Regions from separate parts of the Mus musculus genome. Here all the other regions are reported to be linked to region 1. The links are microRNA targets in miRTarBase. Many come from high-throughput screens and were not tested one by one. Region 1 holds a microRNA gene; each other region holds the end of a gene's coding sequence.
The links. Region 1 holds the annotated microRNA mmu-miR-3470b (UCACUCUGUAGACCAGGCUGG, at 1,183-1,203, shown strand). A microRNA usually pairs through its seed, bases 2 to 8, with sites in the 3' UTR of a target mRNA and lowers its output. Matches are read on the target gene's strand: a 7mer-m8 pairs with bases 2 to 8, a 7mer-A1 pairs with bases 2 to 7 and ends in A, and an 8mer does both.

Region 2: miRTarBase lists Rab27a as a target of mmu-miR-3470b. Seed matches in the 3' UTR shown: 7mer-A1 at 2,045-2,051 and 8mer at 1,895-1,902.
Region 3: the mRNA of Asxl2 is a reported target of mmu-miR-3470b. Seed matches in the 3' UTR shown: 7mer-A1 at 1,041-1,047.
Region 4: the mRNA of Ciapin1 is a reported target of mmu-miR-3470b. Seed matches in the 3' UTR shown: 8mer at 1,916-1,923 and 7mer-A1 at 3,767-3,773.

What each region holds. Positions count from the first base shown.
Region 1 is chr16:44,012,703-44,016,771 of GRCm38, forward strand. It overlaps Mir3470b (microRNA 3470b), which reads left to right and starts at 1,150; the gene lies at 1,150-1,275. It overlaps Gramd1c (GRAM domain containing 1C), which reads right to left. Exons shown (of 17, transcript NM_001359085.1): 6 at 220-335.
Region 2 is chr9:73,095,109-73,099,177 of GRCm38, reverse strand. It overlaps Rab27a (RAB27A, member RAS oncogene family), which reads right to left. Exons shown (of 6, transcript NM_023635.6): 6 at 1,564-3,920. The coding sequence ends at 3,722. Among named protein-coding and RNA genes, the nearest start is that of Khdc3, 5.3 kb to the left of the region's middle.
Region 3 is chr12:3,501,671-3,505,739 of GRCm38, reverse strand. Asxl2 (additional sex combs like 2, transcriptional regulator) reads right to left here. Exons shown (of 13, transcript NM_001270988.1): 13 at 1-4,069. The coding sequence ends at 3,368. Among named protein-coding and RNA genes, the nearest start is that of Dtnb, 69 kb to the left of the region's middle.
Region 4 is chr8:94,819,646-94,823,714 of GRCm38, reverse strand. It overlaps Ciapin1 (cytokine induced apoptosis inhibitor 1), which reads left to right. Exons shown (of 9, transcript NM_134141.4): 8 at 1-62; 9 at 508-3,897. The coding sequence ends at 618. Among named protein-coding and RNA genes, the nearest start is that of Ccl17, 11 kb to the right of the region's middle.

The DNA of each region.
Region 1 (4,069 bases):
TCTAAGAGTCATAGCCTCATCTCTAACATTTCTTCACGTCCCACACGTGCTTACCAACTTAGCAAATGAGTCTCTTCTCTCCCAACTTGCACTCTACCAACAAGAGGGCAAACCGCACCAAACGATGAGTTCAAAGAAATTCAGAACTGAAACGACCTACAATGATCCCACTGTGATGGGCCATAATGCACCTTGACACTCTACGTTGCTTCACTGTACCTTGGCTGCACATTTTCTTCAACTGATAACAAGTGTTCCATTTCTTCAGCGTTTAAGCCTAGCTCCGTGCCATAGTTCTGCTGGAGCAGTTGCCAGAACTCCTGTCTGGTCAGGCTCTAAGATGACAGAAACATTGCGTGACTATTGGAAAATGCAACAGATAACGTAACTGTAATTCAAAGCACAAAGGCCAAAGTCAGAGGAGCCGTGGTGTGAGCAGTCAAGGTGTGGCTCGGATAGATCCTGGCCTATTTGTCTCCCTATTTTCTATTTTTAAAAAAAAGGGTTAATGGGAGCTGGGCATAATAGCTTAGTGGTTGAGAACTGCATATCATCCACAAGGCTCTGCAGAGCTCCATCCCCATCGCTGAAAAGGAAAGGTTAAATATGCCCATTTGATAAGAGACATTCAAGAGGAAGTCCCATGGATAAGAGCACTGGCTGCTCTTCTAGAGGACCTGGGTTTGATTCCCAGCACCTGCATGGTGGCTCACAACCACCTATGACTCCAGTTCCAGGGGATCTTCTGGCCATCTCAGGCGCACGAGTGGTGCACAGACCTATATGTAGGCAAAAATGTAAGAATAAATAATTAAACCAAGAGTTAAATCGATAAACAGATAATCGTTTCTCACAGGGTTTAACCACATTCTCAAGGCCGATCTTGGGCTTGAGCTATTCTCCAAAGAAGTTGAAACTAAAAGGCACATTCCACTTAGAAAATGGTGGGTTTTCAAAGTGTGTATTAAAGAGGCTACTGTGCAGAAGTACACTTCAGTAAAGATGCTTAAAGTGATTTTTTTTCTATAAAAGTAAGTTACTTATCATTTCTGCTAATTACTGATCTGAAATCCATACAACCTATGATCACAATTCAGAGTTGTCCTAAATGTTAACTCAGAACCAAATTTTTTTTTTTTTCCGAGACAGGGATTCTCTGTGTAGCCTTGGCTGTCCTGGCACTCACTCTGTAGACCAGGCTGGCCTTGAACTCAAAAATTCACCTGCCTCTGCCTCCCGAGTGCTGGGACTAAAGGCATGCGCTACCAATGCCCGAGAACCAAAACTTCTAATTCACGATTGTATCTGAATATTTTAAGCATTTTTAGAACTTTGCACACCAATGAGCTCCAAATTACATTTTCCTAAAATATAAAATGCAAGAAAACAACCTTCAGAATACTAATTTACTTTTAGTAAATTCTAGCTTGCTTCCTTTATAGACAGCATGTCAGTGGTAAAGTTACCAAGTACAGCCGAGAAATGTACCCGTGGTTAAGAGTGCTTGCTGCTCCACCAAAGGACCAGTGGCCACATCCTAGCTCCCACATGAGGCAAGTCACAAACATCTGTAAATCTGTAACTCCAACTGACACACCCTTCGGGATTCCATGGGCATCACACACACACACCGACCCACTTAAAAAAAAAAAAACCTTAATCACCAAATAAAGCAAGCTGTAAACTATTTGGGAAAATAACATCATATCATAGTAACAGACTGGTCTCCGGGAACATTGCAATTAATTACATGATTAAGCAAGACAAGAGAGAGAGACAGCATGGTACTTGAAGCAACTGTCAATACGATCTTCCATCCATTCCACAGGTCTTTATTGGGAATGAAACCTGTGGCACCGCTCTAGATCCAAAGGGTATAAAAACAATCTCCGAATTTAGTACTCATGTCTGAAGGATACAGGGCACTCTTAAATCAGATGCACATGATCATGTGCTAATGGGCTGGAAGAGTCTATGGGATAGGGAAGTGCAAAAGGAGTTAATATTATTGAGGACCAAGGTGGCCAGATGAGGCTCCACCGAGGAGATAGGCTTCTGGGTAAGCTAGAGGACAGACGGATTCGTGAAGAAAAACTAGAAGAGATGGAGAGAAGACGACCAACCCATAGGGAGGGCAGAGATGGACAGAAGTAACATTAGTTATGAAGCTAGCAAGTAAGTCATCTCCTAGCCCAATCAGAGAAATGTTTCAAAGTTAAGAGGTTGAATGTAAAAATATATAATGGGGCCAAATGTATAAAGGCCCTGAATTCAGCCCCGGTGTTCAGCCCCTACAACAACCACCACCGCCTTTCCCTCCTCCCAGGAGCAGCTCTGTGTCCTGGTTTTTACTAGATGACTCTCCTTACACTTCATGGAACCAGGGAGCTTAAAAGGAAAATGGTCTGGACTTGCGGCAGCTATATCCCAGTTTGCCAAGATGACCACAAAACCAGCTGATGACAATTCAGATGTCATTATCTACACTTCAAAAATGTCAAAAATATTCAAAAACCTGCAATAAAGGAGGCAAGCTAAGAAAAACATGCCTCTTTGCTTCCAGCTGATTATGTGAACGCGGAGTAGAAATCCCAGGTTGGAGAACTCTAACTGAAAAATCACACATCTAGAAAACAAACTCTGCGATGCTCTCTATTTCCTACAACTGTCCTTTTAGCGGATGAAGTCTTCTCAAGTAGAATATCCAGAGAAGAAAAATATAAAGGCCCATTAGTGACAGTTAAGGATGCTCCTGTCCTTGGTCCTAAAGGGACTCGCCTTCTACCCCAGAGATTCTGTGTGGATTCTGTTTTCATAACAATAATTCATACTGTGAATTAACTAAGTCTTCCAGAGACATCATCATTGGAACCGTTTTCATATCGCAAAAGGATGGTTAGATAGCTTTACCAGAAGAAGGCGATTTTTCAGCACAACTGTGTTAGATTATTAACCGTTCACAAAAACTTTTTTTGAAATAATAGACGTTTCCGAAGATAAAAACTAAAGCAAACAAATGACTTGGTGGTGAACACTCAGCTTCCTAACGGTAAAAGACATGCAACTGGCGAGCAAAACCTGAGAACAAAATGCTATTTAAGTTAATTAGCAAGATAATTTCAACATACATTTTCATCCATTAGTTAAATGTAAATACATAATTGGTTAATGGGAAACAAAACAAAACTCATTTAATTCATGGTGCTAATTTGTTAAAAATGACTATTTCTGCAAGGTTGTCCAGCTGTCTCAAAAACGTGACTATTTACAATCACGCTATTCAAACATGCCAGTCTGATAGTCGCAACTTTTTCAGTATTTAGCAGCTGAGCCTTAAAAAAAAACAAAAACCGACCTAAATATTATTTGAAAGTCGACCACCTACCTGCAAAGGAGCGGAGCGGCTCTGGGTTCAGCCTGCAGATAGATAACTTGAGCAAAATAAAGATGAACCAAGCAGTAATCAGATAGGAGTCAAAAGTCAGCAGATCAATTTCTGGCCCAGAAAGCTTGGTATTCTAAGTACTCTATGGAGTCTTTATCCACAGTTAGAGCTTCAAAACTTTGATAACAGCTAAGCAAACTCGGTACTTCAGTTTCCTACTCTTTACGGGGCTCTTCGCCACGTAAAAGCCAGTGCTGTGTGAAGCTTCAGTTGTTGCTTCCTGGTTCTGAGCACCAGCCCTCTTTCCAGGGGGCCGGTCAGCCTGCAGAGCTGAAGTCACACCTCACTCGACAGGTTCCTAAGCCACGCCCACTGGAAGAGGCTAGGGAAAGAATGTTTTATTAAAGGGACGGTTCCGAATTTCTTCTACTGTACACGCTGATTAGCGACAGGGTGCAAATGGAAAGATCTTACATTTGCTCAAATAATGTAAAACACCTACTGCAATATTATTTTAACCCCACGTGAAAATTAACTATGTTAAAACTTAACCTCCCCATGACAACAGTTTTCAATTCAACTCTAGCGAGTCATTGATACCTATTCTTATTCCACATCAGCACTGACCAGTATTCGCTTCAGACTCCTGCCATCACAGCTAGCATAGATCCTATCCTGAGTACC
Region 2 (4,069 bases), not on the chromosome of region 1:
TTTTAATGTAGGCTTATACACGAGGGTTAGGAGATAAAGCACCATGAAGAAAAAGTCATACCTGGCAGAATGGGTGCAGCAATCAATCAAAAAGGATGGACACTGCTCATTGTATCTTGTATGTTGTTTTGAGACAGGGTCTCACCCAGTAGCCCTGGCTGGCCTGGAACTCATAGAGCTCTGTCTGCTAGCTTCTGTCTCCCAGGGATGCCACCATATTTACAATAGGGCAATGGATTTTTTGGTTTGTTTGTTTGTTTTTTTACAATAGTCTACAGGATTTGGGTGAAATTTCTATCCTATCCCTGGGTGCTTCTTGAAGACACCTGATAAGGTAACTCTAGTCCCAGAGAAGACCTGGAGGCAGGCTATCTTCATTAACAAAGTTAAGGTTTTGTTTTCTGTTCATGCCCTTCTCCCAGAGGCTCTTCCCTATATAATCCAAACAATTTGGATATCTGCACACCGTTTTGTACCAAGGGCCTCCTGGACGATGGCTCCCCTCTCTTCCTTCCCCTCTCCCATGGTTCAGGGTCAAGCTCTTTATGGACTCTCCCAGATGTGTCTGCCTCTGGCTATGCTTACGCACATATCTATAATGAACTTCCTCCTCCACCTTACGGAGGAGCAGTCAAGTCCTTTCTTTCTTTGGTTGTTTTTTTTTTTTTTTCTTTGTCTTTGATGAGTTCCCATCTGCAGATGTGCAGAGCACCAGGGCTGTTGCAGATTAAGCACCGACAGATGGGTGGTGAGCATGAACACTTAAAGACCCCTCCCCTGTTGGAACCTCCACTTTTTAGCTATGGCTTGCAGACTTTGACAAATCCTCTTCAATAGGGTTAGCAAACCAGGCACCAGGTTTTCAGCATGGGGCATCCTAGTGGACCATGAAAGTGGCTGCTCTTTTATAGGACATGATTGGACAAGGTGGTATTTGAACAGTCTTGGCGAGAGCACCAAGTAGACCTCTGGAAAGCTAGCATCACAGACAGACCCATGAGTGCTAGATCAGAGCCAACTCAGGGATGTGCATCTGAGAGGAGGCTGAGTCTCTTTCCGTCAGTAGCCAAGCCTTCTCCAGTGCCCTGGCACCACTCCCAGCTCTGCTTTGAGTGCAGGACCTAACCATTTTTGTTTTGCTCCATCAGACTACCTAGTTCACCAACTCTCAAAGGTACTCAATAAATATTGGATAAAACATTTTGAATTGGGGGTGAAGAGATGTTAAAAGCACTGGCTGCTCTTCTAGAGGACCTATGTCCAATTCCCAGCAACTACATGGCAGCTGACAACTGTCTGTGATTCTAGTCCCAAAAAATCCAATGGCCTTTTCTGGTCTCCAAGGACATGCACACAAAGGACACAGACACACAGGCAAACATTCATATACATGAAATAAAATTGACCAAAAAAAAAAAATCTATCTCGAGCTATCTTCCCTGGATGCTGTTTTGGCCAGGGTCCTCAGCAAGCATCTCGTGGACTCTGCATTCCTGAATTCGGGTTCCTTTGGCATCACAATTCCTAGTTTGAAATATTCACCAGAACTTGATATACTGGACCTCTTTTATTATTTTTTTTTATTATTATTATGGTTTAATTGGCACAAAGTTCACTAAAGAGCATTTTTTATACAGATTTGTAAATAGAAAAATACAGTGACAAAAAGTACGGTTATTTTTTTTTTTTTATCAAATTTAAACCATTTTCAGAGAACTCAGTTTTGTTTTGTTTCAACAATTCAAGGCAGCTCTTGTGTTGGGCAACTATCACACACATTAAGCCCCGTGCCTGGTGTGGAGCCAACAGGAGCGGCATCTCACTTCTCAAAACCCGCACTATGCCACTGTGCAAACATTCACTTTTTTATGTGTAGTCTTGGCTGTCCTGGAACTCACTCTGTAGACCAGGCTGGCCTCGAACTCAGAAATCCACCTGCCTCTGCCTCCTGAGTGCTGGGATGAAAGGCATGGGCCTCCACTGCCTAGTGTGTGTTTGTTTTTTGAAACAGGACTTCACTATGTATCTTTGGCTGTCCTGAAACTCACTCTATAGTGAAGCCTAGCTTCAAACTCATCGCCTGCCTCTGCTTCTCAAGTATGGGAGATGAAAAGAACGAACCACCAATACCTGTCTGGCATATTGACTTGATGTATTTACAAGAGAGACATTAAGAAATGTGCCAAACAAGCAGTATGCTCCACTGAAGTCTTAGAACAACGCTGGAAGGCACGGCTATGATGGGCCTCATGTCCTGGGTATATAGGATTCAGATGTATAGGCCTCAATGATGAGTTTGGTGTTTCAAAGAGTCCCTTATTTCAAAAACAGTAAAAGCTTAGTGGCCATGGCTATTTTTTTCTGAGGAGGGGTCAAAGGACAATGGCAATAAATGATAGATGTGCAATTTTTTAAAAGTCTTCTGAGAGCCAGGTGTGACAACTACACCTTTAATCCCCAGTGCTTAGGGTGCTGAGACAGGTGGATCTCTGTGAGTTTGAGGCCAGCCTAGTCTACAAAGGGAGTTTTGGGCCAGCTAGAAACTATATGAAAAGACCCTGTCTCAAAAAAAAAAAAAAAAAGCCACTTGAAACTACCATGCAAAGTATGTTTTCCACTATCAAAAAACATCAGTGCCCCACATTCCCAGTGAAAGCTACAGGCTACAAAACACTTCTCTTAAACTGGCCCACAAATGTGACTGCTTAAATACAGACAGTGAACTCCCTCCCTCCAGATAGCAAATAAACACGCCGTTTAATTAAAAAGAGATTCCTTCAGTTACATTAATGGGGGAAGGGGGGGGGGGAGAAAACAAACTGGGAAACACCACCACCACCAAAACTTGATGGGAAAAGTCAGATTGGCAGTCTCCAGACAAGTGAAAGCAGATCCTGAGGTGCCAGACCAAACATACGTACATATGAAGAGACCATACATACATACATGCAAACATACATACTGTAGAAGCATGAGCGATGTTCAGAGGTGCACTGAACCCAACAGACCATGGATAGACACAAGAGTCTTCATGACCCCTCGGCTAACAGCAGACAATCTGACTGATCCCTACTTCACCCACCCCTGCTCCATAAACCCTTCCCCCCACCCCCAAACTCACAGTGAGTCAATCCGATCTATTCAGAGTCTATAGGTATGGCCGCCATCTGTTTATGCTCATGTCAAAGGAAAGGCTATGTTAAAAAGCAATGCTGAAAGACATTGATCTGTGTGTACACACTTATTGACATTCACGTGTTTGAGAGTGATAGTCTACAGTATGGATTTTGAAATCTGGATTCTCAAGACCGTGCTAGCTTTTCCTTGCTCAAAGATCTTAATGTCTTCAATGAGACTCTAGGGCTGTCCTGTGTTGAGGCAGGCGACTGTGTTAAGGCAGGCGACAGGACCATCAGCGTTCTACATAACAGATGAAATCTTTCATGGCTGAAATCTTGGATCCCTAAATGACCCGCCACCGTGGGCTTTTATAAGACACTTTTGGCTCTGTGAAGTATTTCTTCCGATTCATGGACTAAATCATACAAAGCTGCAGCGCGTTACAGATGGATGCCCGAGGTGACCCTCCTGGAGGCGAGGAGAGGCACCTGGCATAGGAGGGGCTGTTTGCTCATCTCATCGAGCTGCCGGCTTGGTCTCTACAGCGGAGCTGGCGGCAACCAGGGGTCATGCGCTGCTGCCACGGGGCTCGCTTGGCGTCTCAACAGCCACACAACCCCTTCTCCTTCTCCTCACTTAGCTGATCCGCAGAGGTATGGCCGTTGGACCGTACCACTCCCTCCGGAATCCAGGACTTGTCCACACACCGCTCCATCCGCTTCATGATCAGGTCCAGGAGCATCTCAATCGCGTGGCTTATGTTTGTCCCGTTGGCAGCACTGGTTTCAAAATAGGGGATTCTGGAAGACAGAAATCACTGGGGTAACAATGTGGGAAGAAAGACAGTGACTTTTGCCCTTCGTAATTTTTTTGGCCATTCAGGATTTGGAGAAATTGAGGATAAATATACATGACAACAGTGTGACTTCAGTAGTGCCCAGAGAGGAGG
Region 3 (4,069 bases), not on the chromosome of region 1:
TCAGAAATCTCACACAGAACATGGGAGATAGCTTCAGTGTCTTGAACACAGGACTTAAGGAACCAAGGCCAAACAACTCCAGGTTATTTGTGCTGCTCCCCCACCCCCATATTACTGAGCTAAAGAATGGTGATTATTCAAAAAGCAAAACAAAAAGTCCTTATGATTCAGAGAGTGTTCTACTTAGGCAACTCAGAACACTTAAAAATAACACTGAGATGACACAATATGAATACTATCCCAGCGATTTACAGAGACTACTTTGAGGGCTGGATGGGGCACAGCCCCATCAGGTATCAGATATATTTAATACCTCACTGAAAATTGCCACCCAAAGCCCAAAGAATAAGCTTAGCACTTATTCAATCAGTTCAGAGTTGAGTTAAAGGTAAAAGAAATGATAGGCCATGACAAAATCTGTGTTAATAGTTACTGGAGTGACAAACTCAAAGGGCCAGACTAGTTTATTTTCTGTTCATTTATAAGATGAATGTTCGTCTTCCATCTGAAAGCATGTTTTAACACAAATAGACTAGATGGATTCTTATTTAATATATTTTCAATCTAAAAAAATTGTTGGTAAATGCTGCTTTTGGAATACTTTTAAATGGAAATTAGTTGGGTATTACTTAGTGGAGAAGAACAGTACTTCAGACTTACATAGCCTGAGGAGATCAAGAAGAGTAACAATGTAATTTCCTCTTTAAATGGACCTGACAGTCCCTAATGTCTTCCTCTTTTCCATCCATTCTGAGATTAAGGGAAGTATGGAGCAAAAGCCTTTCTAGAAAGCAAGGTAGGAAATAGGAAAATTATTCTAATACAAACTACTCACTGACACCATAAAGTCTATTCCGTCATTCACCCTCTTAAAGCAGGGTAGACAAGGGAGACTACTCAGCTATGGGTCTTTTAAGGTCCCATGGGGACTACCCATTGTCCTGAAGGTTTGGGAGCAGAATCCTGGCTTGTATTTTTTTTTTTTTTTTTTGGCTCTTTCAAGACAGGGTTTCTCTGTATAAACCTGGCTGTCCTGGAACTCACTCTATGGATCAGGCTGGTCTCAAACTCAAAAATCCGCCTGCCTCTGCCTCCCAAGTGCTGGGATCAAAGGTGTGCGCCACCACCGCCCGGCCTGGCTTGTATTTCTTACTGGTCCTTCACTTCAGAACATACACACTTCTTAACCATGAATCCTTGAAGCCTTTCTTCTCCCTTATCTATGCATTTCTTGAAATAAAGGGGGAAGGTGGAAGGATATCACATTGTCTTGACTAGTGCTGTATACAGAATTTAAACTGTAATTGCTTAGGTCCACAATAGCAGGGAGGAAAAATGAAGGGTGAGCTTCATAGTTTGGAGCAGGGACTGAGGAAGCATTCCCAGTGTTTGATGCAAAAAGGTAGGGTGGTCAGGGGAGGGCATCACAAGGCAGGCAAAATACCTTACTGTCTCCTTTCTCCAATCTGGAAGGTGATATAATTAGCAAGTTAAATTGTTCTGAGTTTTATAAATAGCTTTTGAAATACACCTATACTGGGTTGCAATATTACACCACATACTTCAAATTAGGAGACTTGAAACCAAACAATACAGACTATATAATACTAAATTTTGGTGAACTATTTTTCTTTAAACCATCTCTAACTTAAACAGTATTTCTTTAAAAATTCGTAGCTAGCTTTTGTTTTTTAAAAAAGACAAGTGTTTCACTGTGTACTCTGGAACTTGCTATGCAAACCATACTGGTCCTAACCCAGAGATTCACCTGCCTCTTCCTCCCAAGTGCTGAGATTAAAGGCGTGTCACCCACCATGTCCACCAACTAGTTTTTCTTTTCTCTCTTTTTTAAAAAAAGATTTCTTTATGTATATGAGTACACTGTCACTGTCTTCAGACACACTAGAAGAGGGCATCAGATCCCATTACAGATGGTTGTGAGCCACCATGCGGTTGCTGGGAATTGAACTCAGGATCTCTAGAAGAGCAGTCAGTGCTCGTAACCACTGAGCCATCTCTCCAGCTCCTTGTGTGTGTGTGGTTTTTTTTTACTTCTTTTATTTATTTAGGGTTTTTGTGATTATTTTTGTTTTGAGACAAGGCTTCTTAGATAGCCCTGGTTGTCTGGAGCTCATTATGAAGATCAGGCTGGCCTTGAACTCAGAGACTGGTCTGTCTCTGTCTCTGGAGTACTGGGAGGATTAAAAAAAAATCAAAAGGAAAGAAAAACAGCAAAATCTCACAGCCATATATTCCATTAGTCACTCACAAGACCCTTTCACAGTAAGCATCCCAGCTGTCCTGACAGCCGAGATTGTAGAATCACTTTCTAAAACAGCAAACTGTGTACTTGTGTGTGGGTGCAAAATTTATTATAGTAGGATGGCACAGGGTAGCTGCATTCATCTCTTATGCTCTGGATGCCAAAGCATAAGTATCACTTAAGACCCTTTCTACCTAAAAATGGATTGAGAGAATAGGAAAAGACTATTTTCTGTCCCATGTTAAAACCACTCTTCCAAATTCCGTGAAGTTTCAGTTTCTTCAATTTCATCCCTTTTCCAACATTACACAGTATGCGCACATGCGCGCGCGCGCACACACACACACACCCACCCGTAAAGTGTTTATTGGTGGGAGCCCATGATTGATGCAATGTTGTGATGTATTATTGCTGAACTACTGCCACGTATATACTAATCTAACTCAGCAGTCCCTTAGAAACAGAACCTCTTAACAGCAGAGCTCTGCTTTTAACAACAGTACTGATTCATGGAAGCCAAAAGCTAAGCCAGGGCTGTCAGGGTCAAAAACACTGTCTGTGCTGTTAATACCTTTTGAAAATTTCACTGAAAATAGTTCCACCTAAAGTAAAGGGATGAGCAAACCCCGAATTAAATCCCACAAAGGCCATCTTCTTCGTGAAGAACCTGAGCCAGTCTGTGAAGACATAATCAGCACTATGATCGCTCCCTCACTTTCCTTTTCATAGCCTGGGGAAAGGTCAGAGGCAGACAGCTTCCTTTCACCATGCATACCGTTCAACTTTTCTCAGTCAAAAGAAATGGAACATAAATCTGAATGTGAAGTTAATACATCATTACCTAAATACTTTGAAAAAAATGTTAAAACAAAATGTGACATATTTACATGATTTTGTAAGTGCAAACTTTGTCACCAATTCAGTCCTATTTGACTCAGACCTACTATACAAGGTGCTCTTCCTGTAAATGTGAAGACCTGCATTCTGTATTCCTGATTAATGTCTCTTGAGACAACTGAAACTTTATTTCTGTGATTTAAAAAGGGTGCAAGAACATGACTTTTTAAGCCTTCCCTTCCCTCCTTTACATACGCTACAGTCTTATTACCGAACAACAAGGCAGGAGACACAGAGTTTGGAGGGGCCAATGCAATCATCATGGCAGAAAGCTCCACATCCTTTGCACATGATCATGGCTTTCAACCGGCAGTAACATTTTGATGGTGTGTCCTCGATACTATTGTCATCAGGAAAAGTCTGAACAGGAATTGTCTGGCCATGGCTGCTGGGATTCATTGCTTGACTGGCAGGGATGGTAGTGACAGTCACTGAAAACGACATGACGTCCCCTACATTGCTAGATACCTGGCTGCCTGGTATAGCAGAGTTATGGTCCATGTCTGATGAGGTGGAGACATTGATCATGCCTCTATAGCTTGGCCCTATCTGTGTGGGGCTTCCATACAATTTGGGGGTTTGCAGTGGTGGAAGGAGTAGAGGCTGATGTGTGGGACTGTCTGCGGGAAGAGAAAGAGCAGTAGAATTGAAAAGCTCAGGGCTGCTACACACTGTCTTACCTCTCACAGCATGAGTCATCTGTTTATGTGCTGCCGGAATAAAATCTCTAGGCAGGCTCTTTTCATCAGATGCTTGGCCTCTAGAGAATATGTAATTCTCCTGGCCTAAAGTGGTTTGCTCACTCACTGGTGCCTCAGTCTTACCATTCTTGCTAGCTAAACAATCATTGGTAGATGAAGCTTCCCCATGGTGCGGATGCCTGCCAGAACTCTGGGAAGCCCATGGCTC
Region 4 (4,069 bases), not on the chromosome of region 1:
AGGAACTGGAGCGGGAGCAGTCCAAGGCGCAGAGCTCTCAGCCCAAGTCAGCCTGTGGAAATGTACGTACTGCACCTCCTGACACCCACCAACCCCTGACCCTAACTGCACACAGAGTAGCTGATCTTAAGGGATTTGTCACTGAGTGTTGTCATAGTGGGCCACGAGTGCAGCTGTAATGAGAAGAGGTTATCCCGAGAGGGAATCGGCATTCTCATGCCAGGCTGACAGTGGCTATCAGTTTTTATTTTGGCTGACCTTGCTGTGATCTCCTGTAGCAGAGGCTGCCTGAGCTACCTCTCCTCCGTCCCATGGGCTTCCACATAACTCAGGCAGGCCATAAACCTGCCTCAGCCTCCCAAGTACGTCAGTACAGCTGTGTTACCAACTCTCGTGGCTGGCGCCCGTACTGACTGACGTTTCATAGAACAAGAGACCCGTGGGTGTACGCAGGTGCCCTTTCCCTTTGGCCCTTAGCCTCTCTGTGTGACTGTTGTTTCTCCACAGTGCTACCTGGGTGACGCTTTCCGCTGTGCCAACTGCCCCTACCTCGGGATGCCAGCCTTCAAGCCTGGCGAGCAGGTGCTCCTGAGCAATAGCAATCTCCAGGATGCCTAGGAGGGACCTCAAGCCCACACACCTCCTCCTCCAGCAACTCCTGTCCTCAGCTCCTCCCACGGCCTCCTCCCACCTCTGGATTCAGGCGCTCTGAAAACACTCACAGGGAGAGGCTTGCAGCCGAGCGAGCGAGCGAAGCTGCTGTGGGCAGTGGGGTGGGGTGCTGCTGTGTCTTGAAAGACCAAGGATTGAGGGGACCTGTCTCTTAGTGTTAGGGGAAGAGGGTGGATGCGCCTAAGGAACTCTGCTCCTGGTGTTACAGTGCTGTCCCTCTCCACCCTTGAGTATTTATGCTGAGTAAGCTCCAGGCTCCGCTCAGTGATGCTGCCACCTGCTGGACTTCCTCAGGATGTAGTTCTTGGAGCCATGGGTTAGCTGTCAAAGGGCCTCAGGGGCACCAAAGAAGTCACTCCCCCAGTTGTGATCCATCTTGTGTCCCTCTGCCTTTCTCACCTCACCCCGTTTTACTGTAGTGTTGTATCTGTGTCCTGTTGTCATTTCTGTTAAATGGTATTAAACTTTTGTGTTTTTATGTCTCCCTTTTACTGTGAGTGTGTCTTTGTGTCTGTGTGTGGTAGTGAAGGGTTGTCTGTCACCCATCCACATTCAGCTTGGACTATGAAAATTGTTTTTGAAGAAGTCATCGTCACACAGGAGTGGGGCCAGAACTGCCCACTAGCTAGGACTAGGATCTGTCTTCACCTCCTGTAGGAGCCAGGTGGAGAATGCAGGTTAGGGCAGGCTGGACCAGCAGCAGGAAGTATCAGAGCAGGAGGCCCTCTTCAGTCTCCCTCCTGCCTCTGCCCACATCCCTGTTATCCATCATGCCTGCTGTTACCTGTCCTTGTTACTTGATCTGCTTAGCTAGCTTCTGCTGCTATGGGTGTGGTGAAAAGCCCTTTGAGAAGCAGAATTTCTGTTGACCCCAGTGACCCTTGCCTTGTGTTACCTCCCCTCCAATTACAGCAAACCCTGAAAACCTCTGGTGTTTCTCTTCTGAGTGGAAGAGGCTTTGCTAAGTGAAAGGGTTTTACAGATGGACCCACAGTCCCTGCTGATTAAAGTTAATTAGACGGGAGATTATCCTTGGCCCATTCTCTTGATCCTTTAAAAGAATTAGAAAACAAAGGCTTTGTTTTGCTGCCTGTGCACAAGCTAGTGGTGAAGTTTTAGGAGGTGTGTACCTCTTAGCCCTACTAAGAAAGTGGGAGCCAGGCAGTGGTGGTGTATGCCTTTAACCCCAGCACTTGGCAGCCAGAGGCAGCCGGATTTCTGAGTTCAAGGCTAGCCTAGTCTACAGAGTGAGTTCCAGGACAGCCAGGGCTACACAGAGAAACCCTGTTTTGGGGGGAAAAAAAGGGTGGTGGTGGGGTGGTGGTGGTTACAGCCCCACAGCAAGGAGCTTGGTTCTGTCATCACTGTGCCAGCTTGAAAGAGGACTCGCTTTCAAATGAGAACACAGCCTGTGCCTGAATTAATGGCTGGGATCCATGGATGGAACACTTGGGTATGCACAAAGCCTTGTTTTTGATTCCTAGTACCAAAACCAAAAAAGGTTTTCTCAGGCCAGAGCAATTGACAGAAAAGCCAAGATAATAAGTGGGGGTGTGGCTGACTGATTTGTCACACAGCAACAAAAACTCAGCCCCAGATGGGTTTAGGTTTAGCTGACCAACTGGCCCAGTCACAGACCTGTTGTCGGCCTCTACTGCAGTTACCTAGGTGAGGGACAAACACTTGAGCCTCTAGGAGGAGGAGATGCTCCTGGACCAGAGCTTCCTTGTGGGCTTAGTAAACGCCACAAGCCCTTCAGACCTGCTTGTTGATTGCTAGCTATGACTGGCACGAAGGATAATGATTTGGTTGGCTTGGTTAATAGGGCCCTGGCGTCAGTCTTTGTGTCCTTCCACAAGGGCCAGAAGGAGCATATCCAGTTTAGTCAGTCCTAGGCTGGTGGAGAGAATCCTTGCCCAGAGCACATGTAGGCCTCTGCCTGGCTGCTGCTGCACACCAAGGAATTTGCAGTGGTAGGGGCACAGCTATTTGTCTGGCCAGACTCTTGAGTCTGTGACCATAGCCTAAGGAGGAGTTTCAGCCATTGGTAAGCTTACAGTATAGAACCCAAAAACAAATTCAACCTAAACTCCCATGGATACATGTGTGGGCCTGGAAGCCTTGGTTTTGTAGTAAGTGTAATGGTTTCTTTGTGTTTATGTGTATACAGGCACACGTGCCATGGTGCACCTGGAGGTCACGGAATAACTTGCCAGAGCTGGTTCTCCTTCCACCACGTGGGTCCCAGGGATCAAAGCCAGGTCCTCAGGCTAGGCAGCCATTACCTTCCCGCACTGAGCCATCTCATTGGTTCTTGTCTTTTGTTTTTGTGAGACTGGGTTACATGGAAGCTGGGCTCTCCTCCATCTCCCTCCCTCCCCCTCTCTTCCCCTGTCTGAAACAAACTCTGGTTATCGTAGCCTGAATCTCACCGTGTAGCCCAAACTAGCCTGCACCTCATGGGGCTCCTCAGGCTCCCGAATACTGGCATTGCAAGCATGTCCCATCATGCTAAACCTGGCTTTTAAAAAAATGTGGTTTTTTTTTTTCATTTTATGTGTATGTATGCATATATGTCTGTGTACCAGGTTTGTGCAGTGCCCAGGGAGCCCAGAGAGGGTGTCAGCCCCCCTGGGATTGGACTTAGAGCTGTGAGCCACTATATGGGTGCTGGGAATCAAACAGGTTCTCTGTAAAAGCAGCTAAGTTCTCTTAACCATTGAGGAATCTTCCAGCTCCCTGGCTTCTTAGCTCTATGGAGTCTTTGGCTTAGAATCTGGTATTGTGGCATCTAGTTTCCCCTCGTTCTGAAATCACTTGGTTAGTATAGGCAGCAGAGGCAGGCCACATCTTTCCTGGGCTTTGGTGACAGCTGGGCCTTAAGGGGTCTTGGAGCTGAAGCATGAGGGGGTGTGAGTGAGACAGGTTGCAGAGGTGAAGGCCCTCGGGCTTTGCAGATACTCCTGGTTGAGCTGAGTCTACAGGGAAGCCTGCCATTGCTTGAAGCTGATAGTTCTCTGATGTTACAAAATACTGCTTCACCCAGTATGTGGTGATGGCGATTCGGAAGGCGAAGCAGAAGCCCTACCAGATAAGAGTGAAGGCGTGGCCAGATGGGGACACAGCAGGATTTGTTTGGACAGTTCAACACTGGCTGACCATTGGAATCACTGGGCAGCTTCCAAAAATAAAAACAACCTCCTGTGCCTGGGTGTTATTTACAAAGACAAAAATCAGAATCTTCTGGAGTGGTCTAGGGTAGCAGTGTTTCACGAGGCTTTCCCAGATGATTCTAAAGTGCATTCTGTATTAGAGAAGACTTTTCTCACACAGCAGAAAGCAAGGTAAAAAGCATCCCAGCCAGGTATTGCAGTGCGCCTGCAACTCCAGCACTCTA